2 linked regions of the Pelodiscus sinensis genome follow. The protein of the gene in region 1 purifies or fractionates together with the protein of each later gene. This does not show direct contact. Links are inferred from orthologs where the notes say so. Each region holds a gene or a part of one and is shown in the gene's direction. Other genes may lie near its edges. The genes, in order: MLXIPL and MLX.

Region 1 (14,834 bases):
TGCGCCGCACGCCCATGCCTGGGGCGCCAGAATGTCTCGGGCCAGCCCTGGTTGGGGGAAGGGCAAGGGGTGGAGCAGGGGTGATCAGTTTTGTGCCATTAGAAAGTTGGGGTCATTTCTGAGAGCAGGGGACTAGGATGAAAGTGGGTCATGTCTTGTGGTCCCTGCAGAGAAGCAACATTCCAAGCAAGTTCCCAAACTCCCTCGAGAGCTCCAAACATTAGATGTTGGGCCATAAGACGTATCCTGCAGCTTCTCTTCTCGGCAGCAGCTGTCTCTAGCAAGCTGCCCCTTGACTTCATGGGCAAGGAGAATTCAATTTGTTCAGGCCAGACCCTCTCCTCATGCAGTCCTAGGCCATGTCTACACTCCACAGTGTTGTCCACTCAAGACAGCTTTCAGCAGCCTCGCCACAGGGTGCGCACATGCTGCATTGCATCTCCTGTGGCTGGAGCTCACCTGCTCCCCACCTAAAGCCTCTTGACAAGAGGTGCAGAGCTTAGGGCAACATCGGCCACATCTTCGCTTCCCGGAAGATCAATGCAGCAGCTAGGCCTGGGAGCTCTTCCCAGAGTCACAGGGTTGATGTGGACGGTCACTATGAATTCCCTCTCACGCGTCCAGCAGCTCCTGCTCTGTTGCTTTGTTTGCTGGAGGCTGTGGCCTGTGGATGGATCCAGCTGCGCTTGCTCTGCCTACCAGCCAGGGGCTGCAGTCGGACTCAAGGGCTGCTCACTGAGTGGGGGGGCTCTGACATCCACCTTGCTGGTTAGACAGCTGGCCCCTCTGGTGAGCTCTGCCCACATACAGCAGGGACAGTGTTTGGCTCAGCTCTACAGACAAAAGGGATCCGTGGCCTTGGGCACCCATCAGAATCCCTCCCCACACATAGGTGTTCTAGCCACAACCCAGGAATGATGCAAACTCCTGCTCTTTGCCCACTAGCTTTATCCAGGCCACGTTCCTCCTCCTGCCCCCCTTGGCAAACATCAGCGCAGTGAGAGTGACCCCTCCCCCACCAGTGGCCAGGCTTTCCCCTGGTGAATTCCCAAGGGGGCTCTCTCAAAAATAGGGGCCCCAAGCTGCAAGCACAAAACTGGGTCTCCTTATACCCGGGCTGTGTCTAGACTGGCCAGTTTTTCCGGAAAATCAGCCGCTTTTCTGGAAAAACTTACCAGCTGTCTACACTGGCCACTTGAATTTCCGCAAAAGCACTGACTTCCTATTGTAAGAAATCCGTGCTTCTTGCGGAAATACTAGGCTGCTCCCGTTCGGGCAAAAGTCCTTTTGCGCAAAACTTTTGCACAAAAGGGCCAGTGTAGACAGCTCCAATTTGTTTTCAGAAAAAAAGCCCCGATGGCGAAAATGGCGATTGGGGCTTTTTTGCGGAAAAGCGCATCTAGATTGGCCACAGACGCTTTTCTGCAAAAAGTGCTTCTGCGGAAAAGCGTCCTGCCAATCTAGACGCGCTTTTCCACAAATGCTTTTAACAGAAAATTTTTCCGTTAAAAGCAGTTGCGTAAAATCCTGCCAGTCTAGACGCAGCCCCAGTGTCCCAGTCCTCTCCCCCTGCTCTCCAGGAGATGGCAGCAGAGAACAAGGGGATATTTAAACGAGGTGCCACGTTGCTCATTTAGCTCCTCTGCTCTCCCGTCCTGGGTCCTCACGGTTACCTCCCCATCTGGTCAGCTCCAGGGCTGGCACATTCCACCTGCCTCCGAGTCCCAGGGGGGGAGGCGAGAGTGGGCTCAGCTGATTCTTGTGGCCCCAGTGCAGCAGCTTCACTTCTGGTGTCCAGACCTAACTGTCTCGATCCGCTCATCGATTTGTGATGCCTCTGCCTGGGCCAGGTATAACCGAGCAGGGGGTGTCCTCCCTCTGGAGCCCCCCTCAACTCTGGGCCTGGGAGCCCTCGGGCTCACATCACTGGACAGGCAGAGCTTTCCTAGAAACCAGACAGGCTTCAGCAAGGGAGCAGCCTTGGCTAAAGAGAGAAGTTCCCCCCATGAGTGCAGAGCTGGAACATTCCACTCCCCTTCAGTCATCTGGTGCACAAATCCTGGACCATCTTCTGTGGCTAAAGCCATCAGGACTTTCGCTTAGTGATTCTGATGAGCGCATCTACCTGAGATTTTGGCTCTTTGTCCCCCTCGTCAGGGTGCCTTGGTTTTCCTGTATGCACCAGTCCAAGGAATCCATACAGACGCATTGCACATCTCTGCCAGTAAGGTGCATGCCACCCTCTTGGGCCTTAAACTTAGTTTCGGGGCCGGGGGAGGGGTTGAGGCAGGGAGGCTACTTACCGGGTCTAATGGCAAGCCCCAGCCTCAGCTGGCCCTTCTCTTGGCGGTGTGGCTGCCCCCAGCAGTCACTCTGCAGTATAGCTCTCTCCAGCATTCAATGCCCACATGGCCACTGTGAGTTTCACAGCCCTCTGGACAGCGGTCCCTTCCCTTTCCATGTTATGGAAAGCATTTCCATTCCAGGGATTTCCTACTTTCTGGACACAACCAAACCCTGAACTTGCTTTAAGTTAGGAGAAAAGGAAGCTGCCTACCGAATTTGGTGTTCATAGCTGTTACCATTTGGGAGAGGCTCTTGAACAAATGGACGCACAGAAGGTGCTGCAGAACTATTTGTTGTTTTTTAAGTTACAGACTAATACAGCTACCCCTCTGGGACTTACAGACATGCTCTCATAGATATATATATATATATATAGAGAGAGAGAGAGAGAGAGAGAGAGAGAGAGAGAGAGAGAGAGAGAGAGAGAGAGAGATTAACATGGCATTGGTAATGGCAATCATTTTGACATGCATAGTGAGATCCAGATGTTTCTGCCTGTCCCCTCTCCCCATGTACAGTAAGTTCTTTTAGTTACAGACTAACATGGCTACCCCTTTGAGACCTCAGAGACACGTTAACTGTAACATCACCCTAGGTTATCCCTAAAATTGTCTCAAAATGTCATAGTAATCAATGCATACATTTATCGGTATTTTGTCCCAGGCCTCAGTTGGCCCTGGATGTGACAAGGTTCTGAACCGTAGAATAAGAGCAATTAGAAATTTCCATTTGATTCTATGCGTTTTGCAATGTCATGCTGCAATCATTAATCCTTAAATGGTGTTACTCTCAGGGTTTTCCACATTTTACAAACCTCTCCCCTCTGATCCCACCTTGGAATACCAAAAGAAACTACACTGTCTCCTTCCCACAGCTACTCGGGAACAAATCCACACAGAAACACCTTCTGACCCCCGACCAGGATTGTTCTATCTGCTTCCCAAGATCCATAAACCTGGGCACCCCGGATGTCCCTTCATCTCTGGTATTGGCACGCTCACTACTGGTCTATCCAGCTATGTAGACTCTCTTCTCAAACCCTTCGCAACCAACACCCCCAGCTATCTCCGAGACACTACTGACTTCCTAAGGAAACTACAAAACATCGATAACCTCCCCAATAACACCATCCTTGCCACCATATACCAACTCTATATACCAACATCCCACATGAAGATGGATTACAAGCAATTAGAAACACTATCCTATCCCAGAGGACACCACTGCCAACCTGATAGCAGACCTATGTAACTTTGTTCTCACCCACAATTATTTCCAGTTTGAGAACAACTTATACCTCCAGATCAGCGGCACAGCCATGGGTACACGCATGACCCCACAGTATGCTAACATCTTTATGGCTGACCTAGAACAACGTTTCCTCAACTCCAGTCCCCTTTCACCCTTCTCTACCTACGGTACATCGATGACATCTTTATGATCTGGACGCATGGCCAAGAAACACTGGAGATATTCCACAGAGATTTCAACAACCTACACCCCACCATCAACCTCATCCTGGACCATTCTACACGAGAGATCCACTTCCTGGAAACCACAGTACAAATCAACAATGGAAAATTAGACACCACTCTCTACAGAAAACCCACCGACTCATACAGTTACCTACATGCTTCCAGCTCCCATCCAGAACACACCACATGATCCATCGTCTATAGCCAAGCCCTTCGATACAACCGCATCTGCTCTAATCCCACTGACAGAGACCAGAAACTTCAGGATCTCTACCAAGCATTTATAAACCTCAACTACCCACCCGGAGAAATAAAAAAGCAAATTGAAAGAGCCAGACGAATACCTAGAAACCATCTACTTCAAGACAGACCCAAGAAAACCAACAATAGAACACCACTTGTCATCAACTACAACCCCCAACTTAAACCTGTCCACACATTATCAATAAACTACAGCCTATACTGGAACAGGATACCATACTCCAAGAGGCTCTGGGAGACAGACCCATAGTCTCCTATAGACAACCACCTAACCTCAAGATGATTCTTACCAACAACCACAGGACATACCACACTAATACCAATCCTGGTACCTTCCCTTGCAACAAACCCCGTTGCCAGCTTTGTCCACATATTCCTTCTGCTGATACCATTATTGGACCTAACCAAGTGAGTTATAAGATCAAGAACACATATTCCTGCGCATCCAGTAATATAATTAATGCTATCATGTGCCGAAAGTGTCCGTATGCTATGTACGTTGGACAAACATCTCAGGCACTTCGCCAAAGGATTAATGCCCACAAAACAGATATCAGACAAGATCACAAAGAGAAAACAGTTTCTTTCCATTTTAACCAGAAAGGACACTCTCTCAATGACTTAACCACCTGCATTCTGCTACAAAGACCTTTTACATCTGTCACATTACCGAATTGGAGGGAAGCAGCCAGATCGCTGCTGCGCCCCTAGTTGGGGGTGTTGGCCCCAGAAATTGGTATAAAAGGGAGCCATGTGGGGTATTGAATGGGAGCTTATTGTTTGTTGATCTTATGTACGCTATTTATGTGAATATATAATGTCTGTGTGTGTAGGTAGGAATCTGTAATCTGTGTGGAAGCTGAATATTTCTCTGAATGTGGGTAAGCATTGCTATGGACAGGCTGAGTAGCCAGGCCCTGTGGGACAATGGCTCTCAATGGGCTATGGACACACCCAAAGAATGGGGTTTGTCATCTGAGGGCAGCCAGCAGGGAACATAGAGATTGGCCTCTGACCAGGTGACTTGCTGCATACAAGAAGAGGCCAGGAAGGAGGTATAAAGAGGCCATGCGGTCGATGCCATGTTGTTCTCAGCTCAGCACTTCATCCCAGAGGCAGCAATGCAGGGATTGAAGAGCCCGGAAGACCTGTGGACCCATCCTGATCGTAGGATGTGCAATAAGAACTTTTAAACCAGCAGCTGCAACACCTCTGCTAGAGCCTGCATCGAGGACTGGGAGATTCGGTGCATGTAACGTACTGTACTTTAATAACCTTACTCTCAGGCTTTTCTTTCTTGTAATAATAAACCTTTAGATATAGATTCTAAAGGATTGGCCCAGTGTGATTTGTGGGTAAGGTCCAGAGGGTAAATTGACCAGGGATCTGTGGCTGGTTTCTTGGAACCGGACAGAACTTGTTCGGGGTAGGTGGGATTGGGTGCTAGGACCCCCCCACCTGTGTATGAGGCCCGGGGCCATCTGGGGCACGGTTATTGCTGGGGCGTCGGAGGGGTTTTGCTCGGGAGGCTTCAGGCAGGCAGCTGAAGCGCTCTGTGGGACTGGTTTGTGGCCTGTTTGGAGAGGTCACCAGTCGGGGAGCTGTAAGGAGCCCCGGATTTGAGCAATTCGCCCTGAGCGGACGCCCTCAGCTGTGCCCAGACACGGCCCGGTCCGTCACAGTTGCATGCTCTGCCATTCTCTCTGCATGTTCTGCTTTTCTCATCTCAAGTTCCCGATCCATCTCCTGCTTTCTCTTAGCAATTTCTTCATCTGCCTTCCGCCTTCTTTCAGCAGCCTCCTTGGCTTGCTTCTGCTCCTTTTCATCCACATCTCTGGTTAATAACAGCACTACCAGATCTAGTTTAGAGGCCCTTTTCCTAAAGGCAATGCCTCTCCCCGAGCACAAATCCTTCAGAGCCTCTCTATTTAGGCTCTCATACTGGCACTGACTCATTTCGGCTGCCCTTTACCCAACCAAACTCTCAGTACTAAAAATCAAATTTAGACAGCGTGGGGTCCTGATCCCAAAGCTCAATTGACCAAGATCTGTGGATCCTGCCGACTACGCCACTGTGACGGACCGGGCCGTGTCTGGGCACAGCTGAGGGCGTCCGCTCAGGGCGAATTGCTCGAATCCGGGGCTCCCATTCAATACCCCACATGGCTCCCTTTTATACCAATTTCTGTGGCCAACACCCCCACCTAGGGGTGCAGCAGCGATCTGGCTGCTTCCCTCCAATTCGGTAATGTGACAACATCTGCACTTGAAAGGGAATCCTCTGAACTGTCATTCATGTTAAAATTCGACACTCTCCGGGAAGGAATGAACAAACACTCAAACTATCTTACCCATTACCAAGATAGCTTCCCCAATTATCACCTCTAATACCATTAGCTCACAGACATCCCACTCTCCCCACCTCTAATATCATCAATTCACAGACACTTACCTTCCTTCCTTCCCCCCCGCCCCCCCCCCCCCGCATCCCCCTCCTGTTCTGAAATGTGATTTGTCCTTTTCATATGTGTTCACTTTTTTTAAATTGTATCCTTTGGTATATATGGTTGTGACTATTTTCTTCCACTATTTGATCTGAGGAAGTGGGTCTGGCCCACGAAAGCTCATCATCTAATAAACCATCTTGTTAGTCTTTAAAGTGCTACATTGTCCTGCATTTTGCTTCGGTTTTCCACAGTTATCCTTTGATGACTATTGTCAGGCTTCCCATTGTTATCTCTTTTGTCCTGTCTCCAAAGTGTATCAATTCTGCTAATTTAATTCTAGCCTCCTGGTTGTCTTTAAAGTTCTCACTTCTTCACCATTTGGGCATTCGTGATGGCTTTCACACTTATCCTTAACTATGTACATATCCACCACTCACAACAAATGATTTACAGCAATTGTTTCCTGTTAAAGAATCTTCACTGAGCATTTTAGACAGGATTACATTTTAGAAAGGATCATATAGTTACCAAAGAAATTTCAAAAAGTCCTGCTGGGACATAAGTGCTGCAGGACCATTTGTTGTTTAAGTTAATTTAATTTACAATGTAGACAAGAGGCACAACTTAATGTGTAATGCTAACAAGAAACAAGACTTTACAGCCAACATTGTCTAATCATGAAGGATGGCTGGCAGGCTCAAACTGAAGCATACAGAATTTAGAATCATAGAGCTGGAAGAGACCTGAGGAGGTCATCAAGTCCAGCCCACTGCCCAAAGCAGGACCAAATCCCAACTAAACCCGGCCAGGGCTTTGTCAAGCCGAGACTTAAAAACCTCTAGGGATGGAGATCCCATCATCTGCCTAAGTAACCCATCCCAGTGCTTCCCCACCCTCCTAGTGAAATAGTTTTTCCTAATATCCAACCTAGACCTCCCCCACTGTAACTTGGGACCATTGCTCCTTGTTCTGCCATCTGTCACTATTGTCCATTGTCTTTGGAACCTTCCTTCAGGAAGTTGAAGGCTGCTATCAAATCCCCCCTCACTCTTCTCTTCTGCAGATTAAACAGCCCCAAGTCCCTCAGCCTCTCCTCATAGGTCATGTGTTCCAGCCCCCTAATCATTTTGGTTGCCCTCTCAAGACCCTCTCCAATGCGTCCACATCCTTTCTATAGTAGATGGCTCGGAACTGGACACAATATAGGCAGTCCCCGGGTTACATGGATCCGACTTACATCGGATCCCTACTTACAAATGGGGTGAGGCAACCCCGCACTAGCTGCTTCCCCCCAGCAGACCAGGGAGACGCGAAGCTACCCCCGCCCCCCAGCAGACCAGGGAGACGAGGAGCGGCTTTTCTCAGCAGACACCTCAGCTTGAGAATAAAGGACTGAGGGAAGCGAGGTGTGGGAGAATAAAACTGAGCTCTGGAGAAATGTTTGGCTAGAGTTTCCCCTACAATATGTACCAGTTCCGACTTACATACAAATTCAACTTAAGAACAAACCTACAGTCCCTATCAGTAACCCGGGGACTGCCTGTACTCCAGATGTGGCCTCACCAGAGCCGAAAAAAGGGGAATAATCACTTCTCTGGATCTGCTGGCACTGCTCCTCCTAATGCACCCTAATATGCCTTTAGCCTTCTTGGCATATCATTTCATATAATTGTATAGCACTTATTACCATCATTATACTTATATTCTGACACCAACACTCAAATACGCCATTTTGGCCATACTCCGTGATGCTAGGAACATTCTTCTCAATGTTCTCATTCAGTCGTGACCTGGCTACAGCACCGCACCCCCCTTCAGCCTGTCCCCTGTGCAGACCATCACCCACAGACAGCACAGAGCATGGAGACTTGGGCAGAGCCTTCACTGCAGATGCATCCTGGGTCAAAGGGTGAGGAGATTCTCAATGGCCCCCATGGGGCTGGCTGCTTGGCTCCCCCAGAAGTCAGAGGCAGGTGTGAGCCATCTTTGAAAATCTCCCCTTAGCACGTCAGTTGTAAGTTTTCAGGCCCAGGACGGAGTAAGTCTGCCAGTTGTTCTTGGGGGCCTTGCCTCCTCAGAGGCCCCCGGGAGAACTTGTCTGTATCTTTGCCTCTCTCTGGCTCAGCGGAAGACCCTGGAGGAGCCAGTTGAAAGCAGGTTCTCACGCTGCCTGTTTCCAGGGCCCTGGGCATGACTCCGCGAGTCGCTCCCTGCTTTGTGCTGAGCTGGACCCTGGTCGCTATAATTGCCTGTTTTTGTCCCTTAATCTGTATTTGTTCCCTGGGAAATGCAGGGGAAACATTAGTACAGACGTGCTAGGTAAATACCGTGTATTTTTCTCCCGCTCGCAGGCAGAGCAGCGCTGAGCCAAGGTAAACAAAGCTAACTGAGCTGTAGTAGCAGACCTGTCTCTGGCCTCCTAGCTGCGGGGGCTGGGAACAGATGGAAGCTGGAGCGGCTTCTCCTTTAATGTAGGCAGCTTGTCATGGAAATAGACTCTAGTGTGACCCAGAGCTCCCCCTTTTCCCTGGATCCAGCAGACAAGGGGTTAATTCCCTGCTCGACTCCAGCGCCCACCCCTGTCCCCGCCCACAGGCATGGCTGGAGTAAAGAGGGCGGGGTGGGATTATACCTGGGGGCCCTATAAATAGGACTGCCAAGAAGCAGGGGAATGGCAAGCTAAGCAGGACACAGGACAAAGAACAAGTCAGGGAGAGGGTGGGGAAGCAACATGCAGATCTGGGGGCATGGTGCACACGCCTTATGCTAATGGACATGTGTGGGGCTCAGATACTGCCATGATGTGGGCCTCCCAGGTACCCAGACCCCAGACAGACAAAGAGGGTCACACTGGTGGGTGGCTGCTTGCACCGGGCACCATCGCTGGAATGCAGGTGGGGCTGCATGGAGCCTTTCTGGACCCACAGGTCAGGACAGTCCCAGAGTTAGACTCTGATTCAGACTCAGAGGGTCTGGGCTCAGGCAGTGTTGGGCCAGGGTCAGGCTCCCTGCCCCACTCCCAGGTCATCCACAGCGGCCACTTTATGGTGTCCTCGCCGCACAGCGACTTGGTGCCCCGCCGACGCCCCCACCATTCTGAGCCGGAGCCAGCAGATCCCCGGACCATCGACCCAACTCTCACCCGACTCTTCGAGTGCATGAGCCTGGCCTACAGGTAAGTCTGAGGATCCTTTTGACTGGGACCCCTGGATTCCCCCTCCCCAGCTCTGTGTGGCAGGCCTCTGGCATATAGACAGGGGTCAAGGACATTGATCACATTTTGAATTCAGATCAAAATATACAGTTAGAACAGGTGCTTTGGCCATGGCTCATCCCCCAGGCTCTTTTCCCTTTTGAAAATCGCTCCAGCAGCCATTTGGTTTTTCTTTCAGAAGAGCCCTACAACTGAACATCAGCATGTTATCTCTGCCCCCCCTTTGTGTCCCTGGCAGTGGGGGGTGGATATTAGCGACATGATCACAGACTAGCTTGGTACTAATATGGGCTCATAGCCCCCAGTATGAGTAGCAGATTTTGGGGCTTTGCAGTGGGTCAGTTTCATATTAAAAGAGAAACGAGCGATACGCACTTGGTGCTTTCTATTTACCCAACAGCCCCAAGTCCCTTCACAGGGGCCAGAGCAGCACACGGGCTGTTGCACTTGCAGAAACCCGCTGAGACATTGCTCCTGTTGCCCAGAGGCAGTGCCCTTCCCTCAGCCCTTTGCTGTTAGAACACATGGTCTGCTCTGCCAGCCTGCCCTCCCTTCTCAGCCCTGTTTCAGGCTGCTTCCCAGAGGACCTAGACAGAACAATCTGCCTCCCCTCTTCTGGGGCTGCTCCCTCCAGCTGGACTCTCCAGCTCTTTATGGGGAGACAAGGCCCCACTGGCCTGGCCCCCCTCCAGGTGCCGAACAACACTGGGGGTATGTCTAGACTACATTGTTTTTTCGAAAAAACGTCACCTGCGTCCACACTGCAATGCCGTTCTTTGAAATGAAATGGAAAGAATACAGGGTTTTCGACATTGGTAAACCTCAGATTACGAGGAAGAACGCCATTTTCGAAAGAGCTCTTTTGAAAAAAGGCATGTGTGGACGCAGAACAGGGGCATTTTTTGAAAGAAGAGGGAATCGAAAAAAGCCCAGGTGCCCTGGTGGCCATTCTGCTGCGCCATTCTGTGCACAGCAATCAGGGATTTCTTTCCATGCAGTCTGGATGCTCTCTTTCGAAAAAGCAGATCAGTTTTCAATCCGGTTTTGAGGTGTGGATGCTCTTTCAGAAGAAGCTTGCAGTCTAGACGTTTCCCGGGGTGCACGGTGACGCCCCAGCACAGTCTACACTCTAGGGATGTTAAATATCGGTTAATTGAATAGTCGAGTAACCTCATGAATTCTTATTGGTTAGTCGACTATTCTATAGTCCCTGGGGGCAGGGCCGGCAGCCAGTGTGCTCCGGCCTCACTCTTGAGGAGCCCTCTGCCACCCTGCGCTGCTGCCTTTGCCTCTGGGTGCCAGGCAGGTGCTGGTCTGTGAGGGGAGCCAGTTAAAAAACCAGCTCCCCTTGCAGACCGCCTGCCTGTTGCCCTGTGCTGCTGCCTCTGATAAAGAGTCAGCAGCTTGGGTGGCAGCAGCCCCTGTCTGGGTGGAGCATCTGAGCTCCCAGACCTGAGCCAGGCTGCCTGCCCGCCCAGCTCCTACTACACTTTAAATGCAGAGCCGCAGCAGGGGCAGGTCCAGGACCCATCACAAGCCAGAAATGAGCCGGGCTGCTGGCCAGCCTGCTAAAAATGCACTGGTGGGGGAGGCGGGGAAATGCACGTACTCTATAGCATTAACCTATGCACTTTTGCTTATTGGTTAATCGGTTCATTGACTACACTATCACATCCCGACTGCAAAGGGCTCCCAGTCAGATCTGGTAGCATTTTATGCTTCCTTTGCACTGGCATAGGAGCCGAGCAAGCCTTTGTGCCTAGCCCTTTCCACGGAGAGTTTCTCTCTCGCCCATGTATTTCATTACCAGGCACACTGCTCACCTAGATACGTGTGGAGCATCTTCTGCTAATGAGGCTGCCAGAGTTCAGCTTGATGACTTCCAGGAAAGGACTCAGTAAATAGCACGGTGCTGGGTCACGCTGGGCACTTTTCATCAAAACAAGCTTTAAAAGAGGGCTGTTCTGTTGGCCCAGATGAGGCTTTGCACTGACAGACTGCAGTCCGGCAGGTGCTATCCTGGTTTGGGATGAGAAGCCAGAAACAAAGACATTTTCAGGAAAAGTTGTGGTTAAATTTTTAATGTTCGGGTTCACTTATTGAATATTTTTAAAGAATGAAAACCAACATTTTTCTTTTTCATTTTTAATTAAAAAAATCCCAAACAAAAAAAATCTTCGATGACCAACTAAAAAGAAACTCATCATTTATTTTCACAATGTCCCCTAAGAAACCTCTGGCATTTTTAACCAGCTGTAAAATGTGGGGGTTCCCTCCACATACCATTGTCCCCCATTCTCCCTCCATGTTGGGGTTCTGTATATTGCCTCATTTCTTCCCCTCACCCTATGCCAGGATTTCTGTGTGCCTCCCCCATTTCCTTTCCCCATCCTGATGTCACCCGTACCGCCCAACCCAGAGGCTTTGTGTATGCCTCCATGCTTCTATTTCCCTGTCATCACCCTTACTTCTGTCTGAGAGCTGAGTGCTTCAGGGTGTCCGCACTTTACACTGTATTGGGAGGGTGGGCAGGCTTACACTGCATGCTGTTACACTGCAAGGCAGTAATGCAGCCATCACAGATTCTTTGATCTACAGACAGCTACAAAGGGGGACAAAGATAATGGCCCTGCCAGCCAGCTGCCAGCCCAGATGTCATCATAGTCCCTCAAGGACCCCAGTTAAAGGGTTCAAGCTCCCAGCCATCACCTCTTTTGGTAAGAGGCAAGGGATTGTCTCCCTTCAGATCGGCGTGCAGGCTGCATAGCTCCCTGGATTTACACTGTGATATCTGCAGCCAGCCAGCACCCAAAGCCTTTTCCTACTCTTAATCTGTATGATCACCCATTCTAGCCGTAAGTGTGAAAATATCTAAGCCTTTTGTCCCTGACAGAAGTGGAGCCAGATACCAGATCATGTCCTTCTGCCCCACCTTGTTCAATTCACACCCCCTTTCAAAAGCATTTGGAAACACACCCACGTCATCCTGCTCTTAAGGCAGGAAAATAATATGCCATCCACCGTATGGAATACAGGGGCATATACCCTGAAAGTGGGACAGCAGGAACTCCATGGCTGCGTCTAGACTGATATGATTTTGAGGAAATACTTTTAATGGAAACGCTTTTACGTTAAAAGTATTTCCGCAAAAGAGCATCTAGACTGGCACGGATGCTTTTGCGCAAAAAGTATCCATGCCCAGTATGAGGCTTTGCACTGACAGACTGCAGTCCGGCAGATGCTATCCTGGTTTGGGATGAGAAGCCAGAAATGAATATCTAAGCCTTTTGGCCATTTTAGCCATCGGGCTTTCTTGCACAAAAAATGGAGGTGCCTGTCTACACTGGCCTCTTGCGCAAGAGGGCTTATCTCTGAGCGGGAGCATCAAAGTATTTGCGCAAGAAGCACTGAATTCTTACATTAGAACGTCAGTGCTGTTGTGCAAATTCAAGTGGCCAGTGTAGACAGCTGGCAAGTTTCTGCGCAAAAGCGGTTGCGTTTACGCAAAATCTTGCCAGTCTAGACGCACCCCTTGTGTTCCTCCTTCCCTCTTTGGATTTTCTGCTTTTCATCAGTCATGAGGGCTCTGTCTTTAGATGTGCAGAACAATCCTTGAGAAGTTGGAACTGCATCACAAATGATCTCATTTCAGAGAAATGCCATCGAATTGAGAGTCAGGCTGTGCTTCACTCGGCCAGCTAGATCTCCCCATACACTGCTCTATGTGTGAAGCCTGGAGGGAGAGGGGAAGCTCTGGCCTATGGAGGCCCCATTGCTGTAATTTCTGAGCACCTCTCGGTCTTTAGCAGGATGGGAAGAACGCATGGGGCATGGGCAGAGAGACTAAAGCCATATCTACATTCTGGGCACTAGAGCAAGACAGATGCAGTGCTGTAGCCATGCCCCAGGAACCCTGTAGTGTAGACACAGCCAACAGCAACAGAATGGGGTTTTCTGACACTGTAGGTCTCCTCCCCAAGTGACTGTCGCTTCTGCAAAATTCTTCTGCATAGTTACAGCCCTTGGATGCTGATTTTGGCCAAGTTCCCATGCAAACCAGGCCCAAGTAGCATATCCGGGGTCACACGGGAAGTCTACAGGTCTCGAGTCCCTGGTTAGCACTCTAACCACTGGGCCACACTTCTTCTCTATGGCAGATCCTACGTGTGAATGTTGAGGAGGCCAGGGAGGAGGGACCAGGAGTCATGGCATGGATGTGTGTTGTAGCTTGGGGAGGAAGAGCTGGCTTTTTGCTACACTATGGAGGGAAATGCAGCAGGGTTGGGGGCAGGAGTTGCAGATGGACCCAAGGTTGCGAGCCTGAGAACCAGGATGATGGAGAACAGAGGGTTTTAGAGGAAACAGTGCAAAGCAGTGCGTGGCCACATTTCTGTTGGCTGGAGGACATGGCAGGAAGAGGACAAGGGGAGATCTGGGACAGGCCACAGCCGAGACGCAATAAGGAATGTAACAGTTTGCTGACAAAGAACAGGATTTCAGAGTTCTAAGGGCACCGCAGAGTCTAGGCTCTCGGGTGCACGGGGAAGACAACCCTGCGCATTCAGCTCTCACCATGCACCTTGAGGGCCTTGGGCTCGGCCAGAGCTCTGAGTGGGGACAGGGCATTAGCAGACAGGGTGCCCTTTGTTAGACGCTGCCTGGCTATTCGGTTCAGGCTGAAAGGGCAGCTCAGGCTCAGCTGTGGAGCAGGCCTGTGGGAAGCTGGATTCGGAGACTAGGGGTTTCTGGTGGTCTGACAGCCATTGTCACTGCAGACCAGGTGGGGTGGCTGTGTGCTCTGTTGGCATCATGTTTAAGTGGCGTCTTAACCCAGGAGAGATTCAGAGCTTGGGGTTGGGCCCCTGTTCTCAGCTGTTGGATTTCCCTGGAATGGGGAGAGACTGGAGGAGCCTTGTGCAGCCCCACTGTGTCCATTCGCTTGCACTCTGGAGCAGGATGGGCGCTGTTGTGCATTGCGGGGTGATTTGTTTAAATCGCTCAAGGCCTGGGGCTCCTGCTTCTCTTGGGAATTGTTCCCCAGGATCCCTTGATCTCACTGGTATTCAGCCTAAATGTTCTCCTTCTTCATTT
Region 2 (15,586 bases), on another chromosome or scaffold:
GTACACCCCTCTAGAGACCCCCCCCAGCTGTCCTGGGCCCCAGGCCCCCATGTACACCCCTCCAGAAACCCCCCCCAGCTGTCCTGGGCCCCAGGCCCCCATGTACACCCCTCCAGAGACCCCCCAGCTGTCCTGGGCCCCAGGCCCCCATGTACACCCCTCTAGAGACCCCCCCCCAGCTGTCCTGGGCCCCAGGCCCCCATGTACACCCCTCTAGAGACCCCCCCCCAGCTGTCCTGAGCCCCAGGCCCCCATGTACACCCCTCCAGAGACCCCCCCAGCTGTCCTGGGCCCCAGGCCACCATGTACACCCCTCCAGAGACCCCCCCCAGCTGTCCTGGGCCCCAGGCCCCCATGAACACCCCTCCAGAGACCCCCCCAACCGCCTGGGACCCCAGACCCCCAAGTACACCCCTCTAGAGACCCCCCCCAGATGTCCTGGTCCCCAGGCCCCCATGTACACCCCTCCAGAGACCCCCAGCTGTCCTGGGCCCCAGGCCCCCATGTACACCCCTCTAGAGACCCCCCCCAGCTGTCCTGGGCCCCAGGCCCCCATGTACACCCCTCCAGAGACCCCCCCCAGCTGTCCTGGGCCCCAGGCCCCCATGTACACCCCTCCAGAGACCCCCCCCCGCTGTCCTGGGCCCCAGGCCCCCATGAACACCCCTCCAGAGACCCCCCCAACCGCCTGGGACCCCAGACCCCCATGTACACCCCTCCAGAGACCCACCCCAGCTGTCCTGGGCCCCAGGCCCCCATGAACACCCCTCCAGAGACCCCCCCCAACCGCCTGGGACCCCAGACCCCCATGAACACCCCTCCAGAGAGCCCCCCCAACCGCCTGGGACCCCAGTCCCCCATGTACACCCCTCCAGAGACCCCCCCCAACCGCCTGGGACCCCAGACCCCCATGAACACCCCTCCAGAGACCCCCCCCCAACCGCCTGGGACCCCAGACCCCCATGTACACCCCTCCAGAGACCCCCCCCAGCTGTCCTGGGCCCCAGGCCCCCATGAACACCCCTCCAGAGACCCCCCCCAGCTGTCCTGGGCCCCAGGCCCCCATGTACACCCCTCTAGAGACTCCCCCAGCAGTCCTGGGCCCCAGGCCCCCATGTACACCCCTCCAGAGACCCCCCCCCCAGCTGTCCTGGGCCCCAGGCCCCCATGTACACCCCTCCAGAGACCCCCCCAACCGCCTGGGACCCCAGACCCCCATGTACACCCCTCCAGAGACCCACCCCAGCAGTCCTGGGCCCCAGGCCCCCATGTACACCCCTCCAGAGACCCCCCCCCCAGCTGTCCTGGGCCCCAGGCCCCCATGTACACCCCTCCAGAGACCCCCCCCCCAGCTGTCCTGGGCCCCAGGCCCCCATGAACACCCCTCCAGAGACCCCCCCCCAGCTGTCCTGGGCCCCAGGCCCCCATGTACACCCCTCTAGAGACCCCCCCAGCAGTCCTGGGCCCCAGGCCCCCATGTACACCCCTCCAGAGACCCCCCCCCAGCTGTCCTGGGCCCCAGGCCCCCATGTACACCCCTCCAGAGACCCCCCAGCTGTCCTGGGCCCCAGGCCCCCATGTACACCCCTCCAGAGACCCCCCCAGCTGTCCTGGGCCACAGACCCCCATGTACACCCCTCCAGAGACCCCCCCAGCTGTCCTGGGCCCCAGGCCCCCATGTACACCCCTCCAGAGACCCCCCAGCTGTCCTGGGCCACAGACCCCCATGTACACCCCTCCAGAGACCCCCCCCAGCTGTCCTGGGCCACAGACCCCCATGTACACCCCTCCAGAGACCCCCCCAGCTGTCCTGGGCCCCAGGCCCCCATGTACACCCCTCCAGAGACCCCCCCAGCTGTCCTGGGCCACAGACCCCCATGTACACCCCTCCAGAGACCCCCCAACCGCCTGGGACCCCAGACCCCCCCTCGCCCAGGGTCCCCGGGCTCTCCTGCCCGAAGGGGCGGAGCCCTCCCTTGCCACGGCCCCGCCCCAGGGGAGTTTCCCACGGTGTCACTGGGCACGTGGCGGGGCCACCCCCGCGGGTGCCGATGCCGGGGCCGGGGCTTCCCGGCCGGCAGAGCCCAGAGCCATGGCCGGGAGCAGCCGCGGGGGAGCCGCGCTCCTGCGGGCGCTGCGGGGAGCCGGGGGCCGCCCGCGCCGCGGGGACGGGACTGGGTAAGGGCCGGACCTAGGGAGCTGAGCCGGGCCCCGGGCCCGCGGGTCCTGCCCCAGCTGGTGGGGTCAGTGTTGGGAGAGTGGGGGCGCCCCCCAAGTGCTGTCGGGGGTCAGTGTTGGGAGAGTGGGGGGCGCCCCCCGAGTCCTGCCGGGGTCACTATTGGGAGAGTGGGGGCGCCCCCCAAGTGCTGCCGGGGCTCATTGGGAGATCGGGGGCGCCCCCCAAGTGCTGTCGGGGGTCAGTGTTGGGAGAGTGGGGGGCGCCCCCCGAGTCCTGACGGGGTCACTATTGGGAGATCGGGGGCGCCCCCCAAGTGCTGCCGGGGCTCATTGGGAGATCGGGGGCGCCCCCCAAGTGCTGCCGGGGGTCATTGGGAGATCGGGGGGCACCCCCCAAGTGCTGCCGGGGGTCAGTGTTGGGAGATCGGGGGCACCCCCCAAGTGCTGCCGGGGATCAGTCTTGGGAGATTGGGGTGCGCGTGGATTGGAGTGCGCTGGGGCTGAGAGGAAAGCTGGACCCACGGGGGGATCGAGGGCTGCGCTACCCGGGGGTGTTCCCCGCCCACACCCACGAGGCTGGGCTGCCCCCCGGGATGTGCCCTGTCGCTCACCCCTTGGAACCGGCCTCCTGTGTTTCAGGCATTTAAGTTCCTGTGGGCTCCTGGCTCTGCAAGTCCCCAAGCGACCTCCCGTCACCCCGGCCTTGGTGCTGCCTGCGCGGAGCTTCCTGAACCTGGCGGCTGCGCAGCTGGGCAGCAAGCGGATGGAGTATTCGGAGATGCGAGTCCTGGGGTGAGTGTGTGGCTCCGAGGGGGGGGGCTGCAGGAACCTGGCCGAGGGGGTGGGAGTTGGAATTGCCTCTGGAGGGGGCTGGGGCTTGTTACCCAGGGGAGGGGGTGGGGTGCAGGTGGGTTCCCGGGCCTGATAAACTCCTGGCCAAGGATTCTGCCCGCTACCCTGTGAAACGTGAGCTCCTGCCGGCCTCCTGTCACCCCGGCCCCTGCTCACGGGCGGCTTGTCTCTCCCCCCCCAGCTACTCCACGGAGCAGATGTACAACGTGGTGGCCGACGTGGAGAGCTACCAGCACTTCGTGCCGTGGTGCAGCAGCTCCAAGGTCCTGTCCTGCCGCCAAGGGCTGACGCGGGCCGAGCTGGAGGTCGGCTTCGCGCCCTTCGTGGAGCGCTACATCTCTGAGATCTCCCTGACTCCCCAGCACCAGATCCGGGTAAGGGGCCGCCAGGGAGCCTGGGGCTTAGCTGGGAGGAGCTGAGCACTCACAACTCGCTGCAGGTGCTCGGCACCTCTGATCACTGGCCCGAAGCGTGTCAAGCAGGGGCACAGAGGCTGGTCTTGGAACGGGCTACTGTGGTTCCCAGACAGACCTCCTGTTCTTATGGCTTTGATCCCGGCTGCTCCCCTCTCAAAAAGTTGCTGTGTGAGAGGCAGCCCCCAACACCCCATCCCTCCTGCTGAGGGAACAGCTGGGCTCCAAGGAGCCAAGCCAAACCTGGGTGGCACCCAGCGCCGAACTGTCCTGGGTCCAGTTCCTGGCAGATCAGGGCTGGGGATGCGCTGACGTCGGCGTTCGGGGCAGCTGCCGGATAGGGAGCTTGTGCCCAAGCGAGCCGGCAGCCACTCGAGGGATGGGGGTTGGCGGGTGACCGCACAGCCTGTGCAGCTGTTTCCACATTCACTGACTTGTGCAAAGGTTTGCTCAGACGCGAACAGGAAGCCTGGTTCTTCCTGGCCGCCGCAGGCCCTGTGTCTATGGCTCCCGGGCTCTCCGCGGGGATGTGGCTGGGGGGGCATTGACTTTCCCGCCTCTCCGCTCAGCTGAAACTTGACGCGAGCCGCCTTTCCTCCCGCAGGCTGTGTGCAATGACGGCCACCTCTTCCGCCACCTGGAGACCGTCTGGAGCTTTGGCCCGGGGCTGCCAGGGCAGCCGGACACCTGCACTTTAGAGTTCTATGTGAGTATTCCCCTCCGGGCCTGTCCCCGAGGCAGGCTGGGCCGGGCGTGGGGTGGAAGAGGCCCCTGCACAGAGCGGTCGCTCAAGGCAGGTCACATGCGGGGTCGATGAATGCTTCAGACAGGCCAGCCCCCCCCCCCCCCCCCATCTTGCTGGCAAGTCCTGCCCTGGTCCCCAGGCGTGTGCGTAATTGCCTGGCCACGCACCCCCTGGCTCTGCTAAGCTCTGTGTCCCCCCCCCCACAGGTCTCCTTTGAGTTCAAGTCCATCCTGCATTCCCACCTGGCCCAGCTGTTCTTCAATGAGGTGGTGAAGCAGATGGTGGCAGCCTTTGAGAGGTGGGCCGAGAAGACGTACGGCCCGCAGGCGGCCCGGCGGCCCCAGAAGCGTGTGCGGGCAGCCCGCTGCATGTGACGCCGCCTCCAGCGCAGCTTCTCCTGCCACAGTGGGACCCTCCTGGGAGCACAGCAGAAGACTTTGTCTTCGTTTCATTCTGTCCAGATTTTTGGCTGGACGCCCCCCCCATCCCCGCCCCATCCCTGGGTCTATTTATGTCTATTTAACCACGCGCCCTGGAGAGAAATTATTTTTTTTAATCCTTTTTTGGTTCTATTTAATGCCCTTGGCCTGATCTCTGGGCCTGCTGCTATATCCAGTATTAAGAGGCTCTGTGTCTTGGTTTTTTTTTAAATGTTCTGGTTTTCATGTGACCTCAATAAAATGTGCAATGAAGCTTTGTCGTTCCGAACATTTCCTCACCCGCCAGCCTTGGCTTCTGGATCGCTTCTCGGCAGCCTCCTCCCCCCGCGTCTGGGAAGTGAAGTCACCGGGATGTCTCGGTGCACTGAGCAAACAGGAAATGCCTTGGGAGCAGGAAGGGGGGAATCCAGTGTGGAGCCCAGCTTCCTGCCCATTTCACGGCCACGCACGACCACTCTTGGAGGGGGGGGGTAACAGTTTGGAGGCACCTCATGTGAGGCATCCAGCCGTGAAACCATGACTAGCCCTCCCCTGGCAGGGAACTTGCCTGTGATCTGGTGTGACACAGGCTTTGCCCGGTGCGGCTAGGCGGGGGGTTGTGAGTGCTGGCAGCTGCCCCGCTTGCATCCCAGCGCGTCAGTGTGAAGGTGAAGGGCCCATCCCCCCATTTTGAGTCTTCCCGGCCCCCTTCTGCTGAATGCAAAGTCCCCTGGACTGCATCGGTGCTGCTGGTCGAAGGGCCCCACGCTGGTGCTGGGGAGTGTGGCTGCAATGCCTAGTGGGAAGGGGCTGAGTCCCAGGGGCAGCTTCTCAGACTGATGAAGCTCCAGTCCCTCCATAGGCTGGCACCTGCCACTTGCCAATTGGGTGTCTGCGCAGGGGATCCGGCGGGTCTGCCATTCCATCTCTGGGCCCAGGGCCTCCTGGCAGCCTCTGGGCTGGTGCTCAGGTTCCAGGACTTGCCCTTCCCGCAGGAAGGTGGCAAAGGAGCCGCTGCCCCCTCCAGCTTCACAGAGCTGAAGCCAGTCGGTGCCAGAACCCCCTGGGAGCTGCCTGCTCCTTCCTTCCCCGTTAGCATCCCCCAATGAACTAGATCCCCAACAGAACCAATTGGCCGAACTGCAACCTGTGGGCATGGCCCAGGCTGTTCAACTGGGGTGCAGGGGGTTACCACAGCCCGCCCATCCCACCCTGCTGAGCTCTTTGGCCTCCCCTGGGTAGGGGCTGGGTAGGCAGCTGCCCAAACCATGCGAAGGGAAGGGGAGGGGAGGGTTGGGCAGCCCCACCGATCGCTGCTGCACAGGCTATTGGAGCAGGAAGATCCGGGCAAGGTTCTGAAGGAGGCTGGGGGGCAGCCCCCAGCCCGGCCCTGCCTGCAGCAATTCCCCTGGCTTGTGGCTCTGGGGAGGGGCGCCGGGCGCTGGGGCAGGAGGAGAGCACAGAATGTTTTCTCTGTGCCGCGAGGGGCACGGCTTTGCAGGCGGGAAGACCCGGGTTCCTGGCGCTCTCCCCCAGCTCTGCATCACAGCTGCTCTCGTAAACAGCCCCTACGCGGTGCCCTGGAAGGGCCCAGCCAGAGGGACATGCTGGGCCAGGCCAGGGGCTTCGTGGCCCCAGGAATGGTCCTTGCCCCTCCCCCTCCCAGATCCTGGTGCTGCGCAGGCTATTGGCGCCGGGAGATCCAGACAAGGTTCTGAAGGAGGCTGGGGGGAGGGGGTCCCCCAGCCCGGCCCTGCCTGCAGCGTTTCCCCTGGCTTGGGTGCTGAGCCCTCAAAATCCCCCAGTGCCAGGCAGGCACCTCGGGGTGGGAGACCCTCACTGCAGGTGCCCTGTGGTACCAGGGCTGGGGACCGGGGCCTGTGAGCAGCTGGGAGTCAGAGGAGGTGGCTCCAGGCATCCGGCATCCTCCAGAGAGACTCCCAGGAGCCTGCCTGGGTCTGGAGTGTCCCCTGCACAAATCTCTCATCCCGCTGCCTGAGATGGGTCTGTCTGTGCAGCACCGAGCCACGCAGGGCCTGGGGGCGACTCCTGGCCAGGTAGCAGCCTATAGGAATGGGTCAGTGCGGCCCCCCAGGGCTGTTCCCTTCGCACCCCTCAGGGGACGCGCGAGCTTGTGCTGGCTGCGCTTGGCATCTCAGGCCTGGCTCAGTGCAGCAGGACTGTGCCGTGTGCCCTTTGAGTCCCCTTGGGCCGCAGCCAAGTTGGGGGGGGGGGGGCAGGGGCACGTCAGCAGTGGACTTTGTGCGAGCCGGGCAACCAGCGTCAGAAGGGCCAGGCCGGGGACAGAAGGTGGCTGTTATCTCGGGGCCGATTACGCCAGCAGCAGGAATCAACGGCCCCTGGCATAGGCTGGAGAATGTGACGTCGTGTTGGGATGTAGGCTAAGGGGGCATGTTCTGGTGAGGGGGCAGGGAGGGGAGCCAGGGGTGCCCTAGGGAAGTGTCGCTGCTCTGTGGCACTCCCGGGGCACTGGTGGCTGCTGGAGGGTCACACGCCGAGTCGAGGTTGGGCCCAGGGGCTCAGGGCGGTGGCCACGTGGCTCCCGTGTTCTCTGCTCAAAGCTTGGAGCAGGGGCAGCCTCCCCCAGTGGGAGAGGGGTGCCCAGCTAGCAGCACCCTGCCCAGCGTGCCTCGCCCGGGGGCTGCAGTGGGCAGTGGGGCTGCGTAGGAAGCAGGGCTCCGTGTGTGCTTGGGGGGGGGGGGGGGGTTCCGTGGTGCACTAGCCTGGGGGTGCGTCTCCAGGGAGGCTGCCCTTGCAGGGGGATGGGAAGGGACCTGCCTGCCTGCTTTGGCAGAGACTCCCACTGATGCAATGGAAGAGGCAGGTTCTCCAGCCCCATCTGACTGAGTCAACATGGCCTGTGCCCCAGGGTGTGCGTCCCACTGCCCAATTGCAGCGCATGGGTCCTGGGCTGCGGGGGGGAGGAGGGGATGGGCTGACACCGCGTGGGGGGGAGGAGGAGGGAGCTGGCCAAGGCAGACTGTGGCCTGTCCTGCTTTGGAGCACTGGCTGGTCACACCAGGTGCAGAAATGGTCAAGTGGCGAGGTGCATTCTGTGCCAGCGGCAGCTGCTGGGACAGGCTGCCAGGCTGGGCGACTCCCAGGGAGATGGGTGGCCCGGTTCCTAGTGGTGAAGGGCATCAGCAGCCCTGGCTGGCCATTCCTGACTCTGACACAGCATGTCTCCACGACCTGCGGCAAGTCACCTCATCCACCCTGCGCCCCAGGTGCTGTGTGTCCCCACAGGGTGGGGGGAAGGCGAAGCCCATTGCTACTGCAGCTCAGTACTGGGGGCCAGCAAGTGCCTTGCACAGGGGAGGAATCGTGGTGATTTTCCCTGGGGCTTAGGCCTAGCTGGGGGGGTTTCCTGGGCAGGTGGGGTGAGGTGTGTGGCATGCAGGCAGCATGAGAGCTGAGCCCTGGGGCTATGCTCATCACACACCTTGGGCTGCTGCCAGCCTGGGGCCCTGGTGGTGCTGCCGAGGCAGGGGCAGAGGCAGGGCCTCACTTGCGTCAGGGCAGGTGTGACGTTTGCATGTCACTTCCGTGTGCTCACGGCACCCAGCTGGCAGTGCTGGGGCAGGCTCTGTCTCAGGGCTGTAGAGCACTCATGGGCTGCAGGCAAGGGCCCGACAGAGCTGGGTACAAAGGAATCAGAGACATGACTGGGATGCCCATTCCCTGCCCCGCCTGCTCCACTGGCCCTTTCTGCTTTGTGCTGCCCTGGGAGGACACCTCCCCTCTCCCCCGGCATCCAGTCATGTCTCTGATTCCTTTGTACCCAGCTCTGTCGGGCCCCAGGGGCTGGCTCTTCCTGCTGGCGCTGGGAGTGAGACAGCCTCAGCCCCTGCAGTGTCCTGGGAAGCTCGTTTCCTGCTAGGAGGAAGCCCAGGCTGCAGGGTCCTTGGGGAGGCCCACGCAGCCAGCAGGAGGCCACTGACGGTGGCAGGAGCGACAGAGCAAACACTGAGCCTGCTGCAGCAAGTGCTGCCAGGGCCCCGTTGCAGGGATCAGCTGGGAATGTCCCAAAAGAAATTCGTGCAGGGACAGCGCCAGCCACCTCCTTGAGGCAGCTGCCTCCCGCCCCATCACCTGAGTGGCTCAAAGCCCCCCCCTCGGTGAGCAGCGCTGCCCAGCCCCAAGAGTGCACACATCACAGCAGGGCGGGACAGTGCTCCCTGCCCCCAGGAGCCCAGCCCCATGCCCTGCTCCAGGGGCTGAGGCCTCCTCAGAGGAAGGGGCAGTTCCCGGCCAAGGCGGGAGCCCCCCTTCCCAGGGTCCCATGGGGCTGGGTAGCTGGGGGGAGGCCCACAGACAGGAAGTAGGTAGGCGGTGGCTGCAGGGCCTGCCCCACGGCAAGAGGTCAAGGAGAGGGCACCGCGTGGGGGTCACACGAGGCCAAGGACCCAGCCCTAGGGCCCTAGATCGGAAATGGGGTCTCCTGAGTCAAAGGTCAGCCTCAGGGCAGGGGCTGGGGTCATGTGAGGTCAGAGTCCCGCCCCTCGCAGCATTGACACGTGGTTCCCTCCTCCCCCCCCCACGCCACGTGGCTCGCGGCCCGGCTTAGAATCCTCAGTGTCACGGCGCCCCCTGGTGGCGCAGAACCCTGGGTTCGGCCGCCGTCACCCCGCGCGGTGGAACTACAGCTCCCGTCAGCCCCCGCGGGAGGCGTCTCCCGGATCCCCCTGTCCCCGCCGGGGGGCGAGCGCTGCGATTGGCTGCCGCCCGGTGGTCACATGACCGAGCCCTGGGGAAGATGGCGGAGCAGGCGAGCACCTCGCCCGAGGACCCCTGGGGGAAGGTGAGTCCCCAGGGCGGGACGGCGGCCGGCGCGGGACACACCGCGAGGCCCCGTCTCCCCGGGAGAGGGCGGCGCTGCCCGGCCCCGCCCCCCACTCACGGAGGCGGAGGGGTCCCCCCACGGAGGGGGTCAGAGGTCACGGAATGAATCAGCTGGGGGGGTGACCACAGGGCCGGGGGGGGGGGGGCGACCCCCATGGGACCCCAACGTGCTGTCACGTGGTGGGATAATGGCTTGTTGCGCAAAAAGGCACGTGCCCGAAAGAGGAAACGGCTCGCTCACTGCCTGGTTTGTGTCTCTCTCTCTCCTGCTGCAATTCGCTCACCCCGCCCCGCCCCAGGTGGAGTCTGCCTACAGCGACAGCGGGTTGGATGCCTGTGAGTAGATCCCCCCGTGTCCCCTTCTCCCACACTCCCATCAGGCCACAGCTGCCTCAATGGGCCAGGGAGCTGGAGTCGTTTCTGTCCTTGGCTCTAGTTCATCGTTTCTCAAACTGTGCTCCACAGAGCCCCAGGGCTCCCCCAGCTATCTCCAGGGGCGCCGCGAGGTTGACAAACTGGAAACATGGAGAGGTGCAACCCCTACAATCAGTGGACGGCTGGGGCTCTGCATAAGTTCAACACACACACAATCAGTGGACTGCTAGGGCTCCACATAACTTTTTACACATGTAAAGGGCTCCGCAGCCCAAAACGTTTGAGTACTGCTGCTCTAGTTTAGGCTACTAGGAGAAGTACAGTCTAGTTGAATTTGGTCCAAATCTGCACTCTCTCTTTAAAGCAAGACATATCTGCTCCTTGGAAAAGCAGCACAGATAAAATCATCATTGTATTTTGTGCTCCATCAGTAAGAGGTTTGTGGAGCCCTTCTCATGTCTCCTGAAATTTATTTTGGGGAAACTGCAGTGCAAAGGATATTAGAGTTAACCAATTCAAGCACAGCAAGGTTTCACGTCGGGTCCCAGTGGCATTTCAGCATTCATTGCATCTATCTGCACTCTGTCTGGGAGCTAGTTACCCTGTAATTTGCCTTGTAAAGTTGATCCCTTCTGTGTCCAGTTTACAGTGTCTCAGGTTTAGTGACACTTACCTCCTCTTGCATGATGTAGGAAAATATGCTACGGTGTTTTCTCTTTCAGCATTCTTTGTGGAAAGCACTAGGAAAGGAAGCATAGTATCCCGAGCCAACAGCATTGGCTCCACCAGTGCCTCCTCGGTCCCCAATACAGGTATGGTCCTTCTCCATGTTCCAGCAGCGTCTCACACAATAGGGGCTTTTCCCACTCTCTCACTCATATTCCTGTTCAGTCTCGGTCTCCTTAGGAGTTGTTCTGTACGAGACCGTGATTGCAGGAGCTTCCTCTGCCAGCTAGTGCAGACATCTTGTCCTTGGCTAGGGAGAATGGTAGGGAAGCCCAGGGAGGGCATCGTGGCTTGCTGCAGGGCAGTTTGATGGGACTCCCCTGACCATGGAGAACAGAGGAGAGCTGGAGCGAGGGGCTGACGAAACTTCTTTGCCAAGAATTTCAAATGCCGAGTGGTGATGGATGCTCAGGCTGAGACACCTTAGAGGCCTCATTTCCAGGAAGTGCTGAAAAGCTGGTCTCTCTATGGAAGGGATCTCTGCTTAGACACCCAGTGCCTTGAAATTCCTGGGGCAGACTCCAATGCAGCAGAGCCCTGCTAGTAAGAATCTTGCCTAGACAAGCCAGGACCCAGCCCTGGGGTCTGCGGGAGAAGCAGGTGGTATCCAGTATCAGCCTTCCCTATAATGAATTACCCCAGCTGCTCACACACTGTGGACTGTTGCTAGCAGAGATGTCCTTAGACAGGTGGATCTTTACTGTGTTTGGCCCCCTCCTTTTGGAAAAGCTGTGTGGAGCTAGTCCAGCCCTCTGGCACAGTTGAAATGCTCCCCAGCGCAGACACTGCCTGGTGTCTGTGTGGCCTCAGCAGTTTTTGTGTCTGCTTCCTGGGCTCTGGGAGCTGCCACGTGCCCCCGAGCCAGCGGTGCCCATTCTTCTGCTGCAGATGATGAAGACAGCGATTATCGCCAGGAAACCTACAAAGAGTCCTACAAGGACCGGCGCAGACGTGCCCACACTCAGGCTGAGCAGAAGAGACGAGATGCCATCAAGGTAACCCAGGCGTTCAGGATGCTGTAGGGGTTCAGATGAACCCGTGGGAGCTGTAGATTTACACCTTGTTAAACACTGACTCAGCCAGCTCTAATCATCCGCTGCTGTTGAATCCACAACACCTTGTCACTTCTGCTCTGCTCCTCCACAGAAAGGCTACGACGACTTGCAGGCCATTGTCCCCACGTGCCAGCAGCAGGACTTCTCCATCGGCTCCCAGAAACTGAGCAAAGCCATCGTCCTGCAGAAGAGTGAGTCCGGAGGGGGAGTGGGGCACTGGCCACCCTCTGTTCATGGGGGTTCAATGTGGAGAGCCCCCCCAGGCTGTAAAACCTTCCCTGCAGACACTCAAAACCAAACTAATAGGCATCTTGTGTCAGGCCTCACTGAGCTGTCTGCTTCCTCCCTACTCAGCTCTGCAGGTTACTGCTCCCCTGATCTCCTGCTGAGGCTGAGTAACACTGGTGCAATCAGCCTAGCAAGGCAAAGGAGGCACAGTGTTGCAGGGTGAAGCACTAGCTACCTAGTTCAACCCCCACACACCCACCTGTCAGCCCCTCCTTGCTGCTCACAGGCATTGAAATCACTTGGGTTGAGGCAGGAAGACTGGGTCTAGGGCTTAGGAGTCTGGGACTCTTCCCAGCATATGATCTAGAGCACCTGGCTCCCCTCTCCTTGGAGCTGGGGTATGACGCATTGGGACTCTCAGGAGAGGAGTTGGGAGACTGCCTCCTGGTCAGTTTGGATGCATGAGGTCTGCAGGGAAGAAATCGACAGCCATGCATCAATCCTGCAGAGGCCCCACCGTCCTCCTGCCCCCTGCAGAGTGACATCACTGATCTATTCTAAAATTCTCCCCTCCCCTCTCCTCCCCTGCAGCCATTGACTACATTCAGTTCCTCCACAAGGAGAAGAAGAAGCAGGAGGAGGACGTTTCTACCCTCAGGAAAGATGTCACAGCTTTGAAGATCATGAAAGTGTAAGGAACAGTTTCACACCCCCACCCCACCCCGGGAGATGGGTACATTTGCATACTGCAGCACATGCTGTAAGTGCTCATCTCCCCCCTCCACCTGTTCCGTGTCATTCCATCCTAGAGCTGGTTACTACCTGGCTCTTTTGTGAATCTGGGCTTGACGCAGATCCCAGTACAGCGCGTGGGGACATGGCTTAAGCCCAGGGACTGTCCGTAGGGCTGTACCGACTCTGAACAAGGAGACCCAGCCTGCTCCTGGGTGTCCTCTCCAACACAGAAGGGAGGCCACAATTTCCCTGTATTTATTCCCCTCAAGGAACTTAAAGCCCAGAGCCTGCTAACTTAACCCTACAACCAGCAAGAGCGCTACCTTCAGTCCTAACAAGCACAGTTAAGGCCCTTCCACAAACACTGCAGCACGTCCCTGAGTCTCTTTCACCTCAAACAGATCTTTGGAGAGTGTCTCAGGCCAGAACTAGCTTCCCTGGCCTGCCATTTTACCCAGGTTTCTTTGGTCTGTTTCAGAAACTATGAGCAGATTGTGAAAGCTCATCAGGATAATCCGAATGAGGGGAAAGACCAGGTCTCTGACCAAGTCAAGTTTAATGTTTTCCAAGGCATTATGGATTCACTGTTCCAGTCCTTTAATGCCTCCATCTCGGTAGCAAGTTTTCAGGAACTTTCCGCGTGTGTCTTCAGCTGGATTGAGGAGCATTGTAAGCCACAGGTAAGCTCTAGGAGCCGTACAGTGCATGACATGGGGCAAGCACCTTCATGGGACTTGCCCCTAGCTCTGAAATTCATTGCGGTGAGGTTCTTTTCTGCGTAGAGATACCCTTCGGCACTTAGCTAGTCTCCAGGGTGCTGCAGGACTATTTGATGGTTTTTGAGTTTTTACAGGGGCTCTTGTTCTCCAGCTAAAGCAAGCTTTGATAGGACAGAAACCTTCCCTAAGGGTACGTCTAGACAGCGGTGCTATTTCGGGATATGTCCGGTATCCCGAAATAACGGGCTTGCTATTCCGACATCCCGGTGAACCTTGTTCCATGAGGATTAAGGGACTTGTTGGAATAATGGTCTATTTCGAAATTAAATAAATAGACTCTTTCAAAATAAGCTATGCAATTTGCGTAGCTCGAATTGCATAGCTTATTTTGAGCTACGTGGCACTGCATAGACATACCCTGAGAGGCAAGTGGGTATACAGGGGGCCCTTGCTAGAAGTCCAAGATACATTCCAAAAAACTTGGACTTATAGCGAAACAACTTAAAGCTTTTTGTTTCAGCCACACCAGACTAACAAGGCTACATATCTATCACTAACTTAAAGCACGTAATTTTTTCCCCACGGCTGACTTCCGTTTAAGCAAACTGGGGGGAGTGTTTCGCATGACTTATAATGCATCAGTTTCTACAAACATCAGCAACTTTAGTGTGGAACAGATGTATACCGGGGCGACTTATAGCAGGGACCCTCTGTACCACACCTGCTTGCACTAAGCTTTTTTCCTCTAAAGCAGCTGATTCTGCTACAGTCTGACAGGAAACTGACCAGGCTGAGTCCTTCCTCTGATCCAAGCTGGTAGGTCCCATACTCCCAGTAATACGGTACCTCCCCTAGGTATGTTGCGATTAAACCTACCTGTGCTTGGGTGGGGCAGTGGGTACCCAGCTGCCTTTCTATTCACTTTTCCCGCTCTGTAAGGAGTTCCTGGGTCTGCGCTGGAAGCCGCTGAGGCATTGCCAAGGCAAATGTTCGTCTGTCTCGCGGGGTGACTGATCCTGCCTCCTCCTTCTCCTCCTTCTCAGACTCTGCGCGACATCGTGCTGGGGGTTCTGCATCAGCTGAAGAATCAGCTCTACTGACTGTTGTTCCTGCCCGGGTCCCAGCAGCCTGGGCCTGTGTCCTTCACCCAGACAGCTGCAGAGCACGGCCCAACTGGGAAACAGGCTCCAGGAATAGCTGGTCTATTTCCCTTGTGGTTGTTCTTAAAGCTTCTCTCTGGATTATTTATTGTATTGGCCAAAACCAAAACTAGGCTGTACATACCTCTCCACAGACCCTGTCGCAGTCTGTAGCACCAGAGGGTCCGTAGGGACTCGGCAGAGAAGGGAATTTAAATGTGGATTAAATACACTTCTTATTGCCGAGAAGGAAGGAGGGGGAGGGTCTCACCAAACTGGCACAGCAGCAACTAGGCCTTTCCTGCGCCTGACTCCCTACAGTGGTGGCGGGTGCTCAGCACTTTGCTGCCTGGCCTGCTCTGGGCAGAGGGAGAGGGGAATGGCCTGCAGTCTGACTACTGCCTGTGAGGATGCAGGGCCTGGAAACCACAGAGCCTGGCTGGGAGCTGCTGAACACGGCTGGTTTCAGGCTATGCACTTGCTGACATTGCATCACCCCATGGGGCTGTGAATGGCAGCAGGGACTGTGGCCCAGCAACAGGCAGGGAGACCTCTCTTCCCCCACCCTATTAAAGAGCTCTGGCTGAGCTATAAACCCTCCTGCACCAGGCTACACACTGACCTCTACCAACGGGGCTTAGGAAGAAGTGTCCCTTGGACAGGTTTCCCACCCTTGCAGGATTTCTTGAACCTGTCTCTGAAGCAGCTGGTTCTAGTTACCGATGAGACGGGTTCGGGACTAGTGATTCTGGTGTGTCCCAATCACCTCGTCCTGCCTAGGGACCGACGGCTGCTTGTTTCCCTGGTGCAGAATGACTTTCAAAAAGGCATGCCAAGGAAGCAGGCCCATCACTGCCACATGGAGAGGTGAGGAACAGTGTCAAAGGGACTCTCGCACAGATGACAATAGCTTTGGCCTTGGCTTGAGCCAGCTGCTGCCTTGGCCTGACTCTTGCCCCGGGTCCTAAACAATTGCAGATGAATGCAGCTTTCTTTACAGGCTTCTCTAGCTTTATCGGCACAGAGGCTGATCTGTCGGGCTTTATATTACTTGGCACTTACAATGAAGTCATACTGTCTGGGAAAGTAGAATAGTGTAGCACAGACTAATTAGACGTCTCCTCTTGTTTAGAACTATA

The links.
Region 2: the proteins of MLXIPL (region 1) and MLX purify together in Homo sapiens (affinity purification with western blotting; 3 studies listed by BioGRID and IntAct, counting the BioPlex papers as one, with this or other methods). This does not show direct contact. The link is inferred for Pelodiscus sinensis from reciprocal best matches to the Homo sapiens genes MLXIPL and MLX.

The regions. Positions count from the first base shown.
Region 1 is NC_134731.1:16,403,873-16,418,706, reverse strand, and holds the start of MLXIPL (carbohydrate-responsive element-binding protein), read left to right. Parts: upstream 1-9,188; 5' UTR 9,189-9,276; coding exon 9,277-9,704; intron 9,705-14,834. UniProt on the Homo sapiens protein: Binds DNA as a heterodimer with MLX/TCFL4 and activates transcription. Binds to the canonical E box sequence 5'-CACGTG-3'. Plays a role in transcriptional activation of glycolytic target genes. Involved in glucose-responsive gene regulation.
Region 2 is NC_134739.1:8,864,062-8,879,647, reverse strand, and holds the start of MLX (max-like protein X), read left to right. Parts: upstream 1-9,309; 5' UTR 9,310-9,384; coding exon 9,385-9,429; intron 9,430-9,769; coding exon 9,770-9,806; intron 9,807-10,567; coding exon 10,568-10,657; intron 10,658-11,459; coding exon 11,460-11,566; intron 11,567-11,717; coding exon 11,718-11,817; intron 11,818-12,445; coding exon 12,446-12,545; intron 12,546-13,067; coding exon 13,068-13,269; intron 13,270-14,351; coding exon 14,352-14,408; 3' UTR 14,409-15,586. Other genes in the region: coenzyme Q-binding protein COQ10 homolog B, mitochondrial-like, read left to right, coding at 2,093-2,178, 2,818-2,970, 3,212-3,404, 4,048-4,149, 4,395-4,562. UniProt on the Homo sapiens protein: Transcription regulator. Forms a sequence-specific DNA-binding protein complex with MAD1, MAD4, MNT, WBSCR14 and MLXIP which recognizes the core sequence 5'-CACGTG-3'. The TCFL4-MAD1, TCFL4-MAD4, TCFL4-WBSCR14 complexes are transcriptional repressors.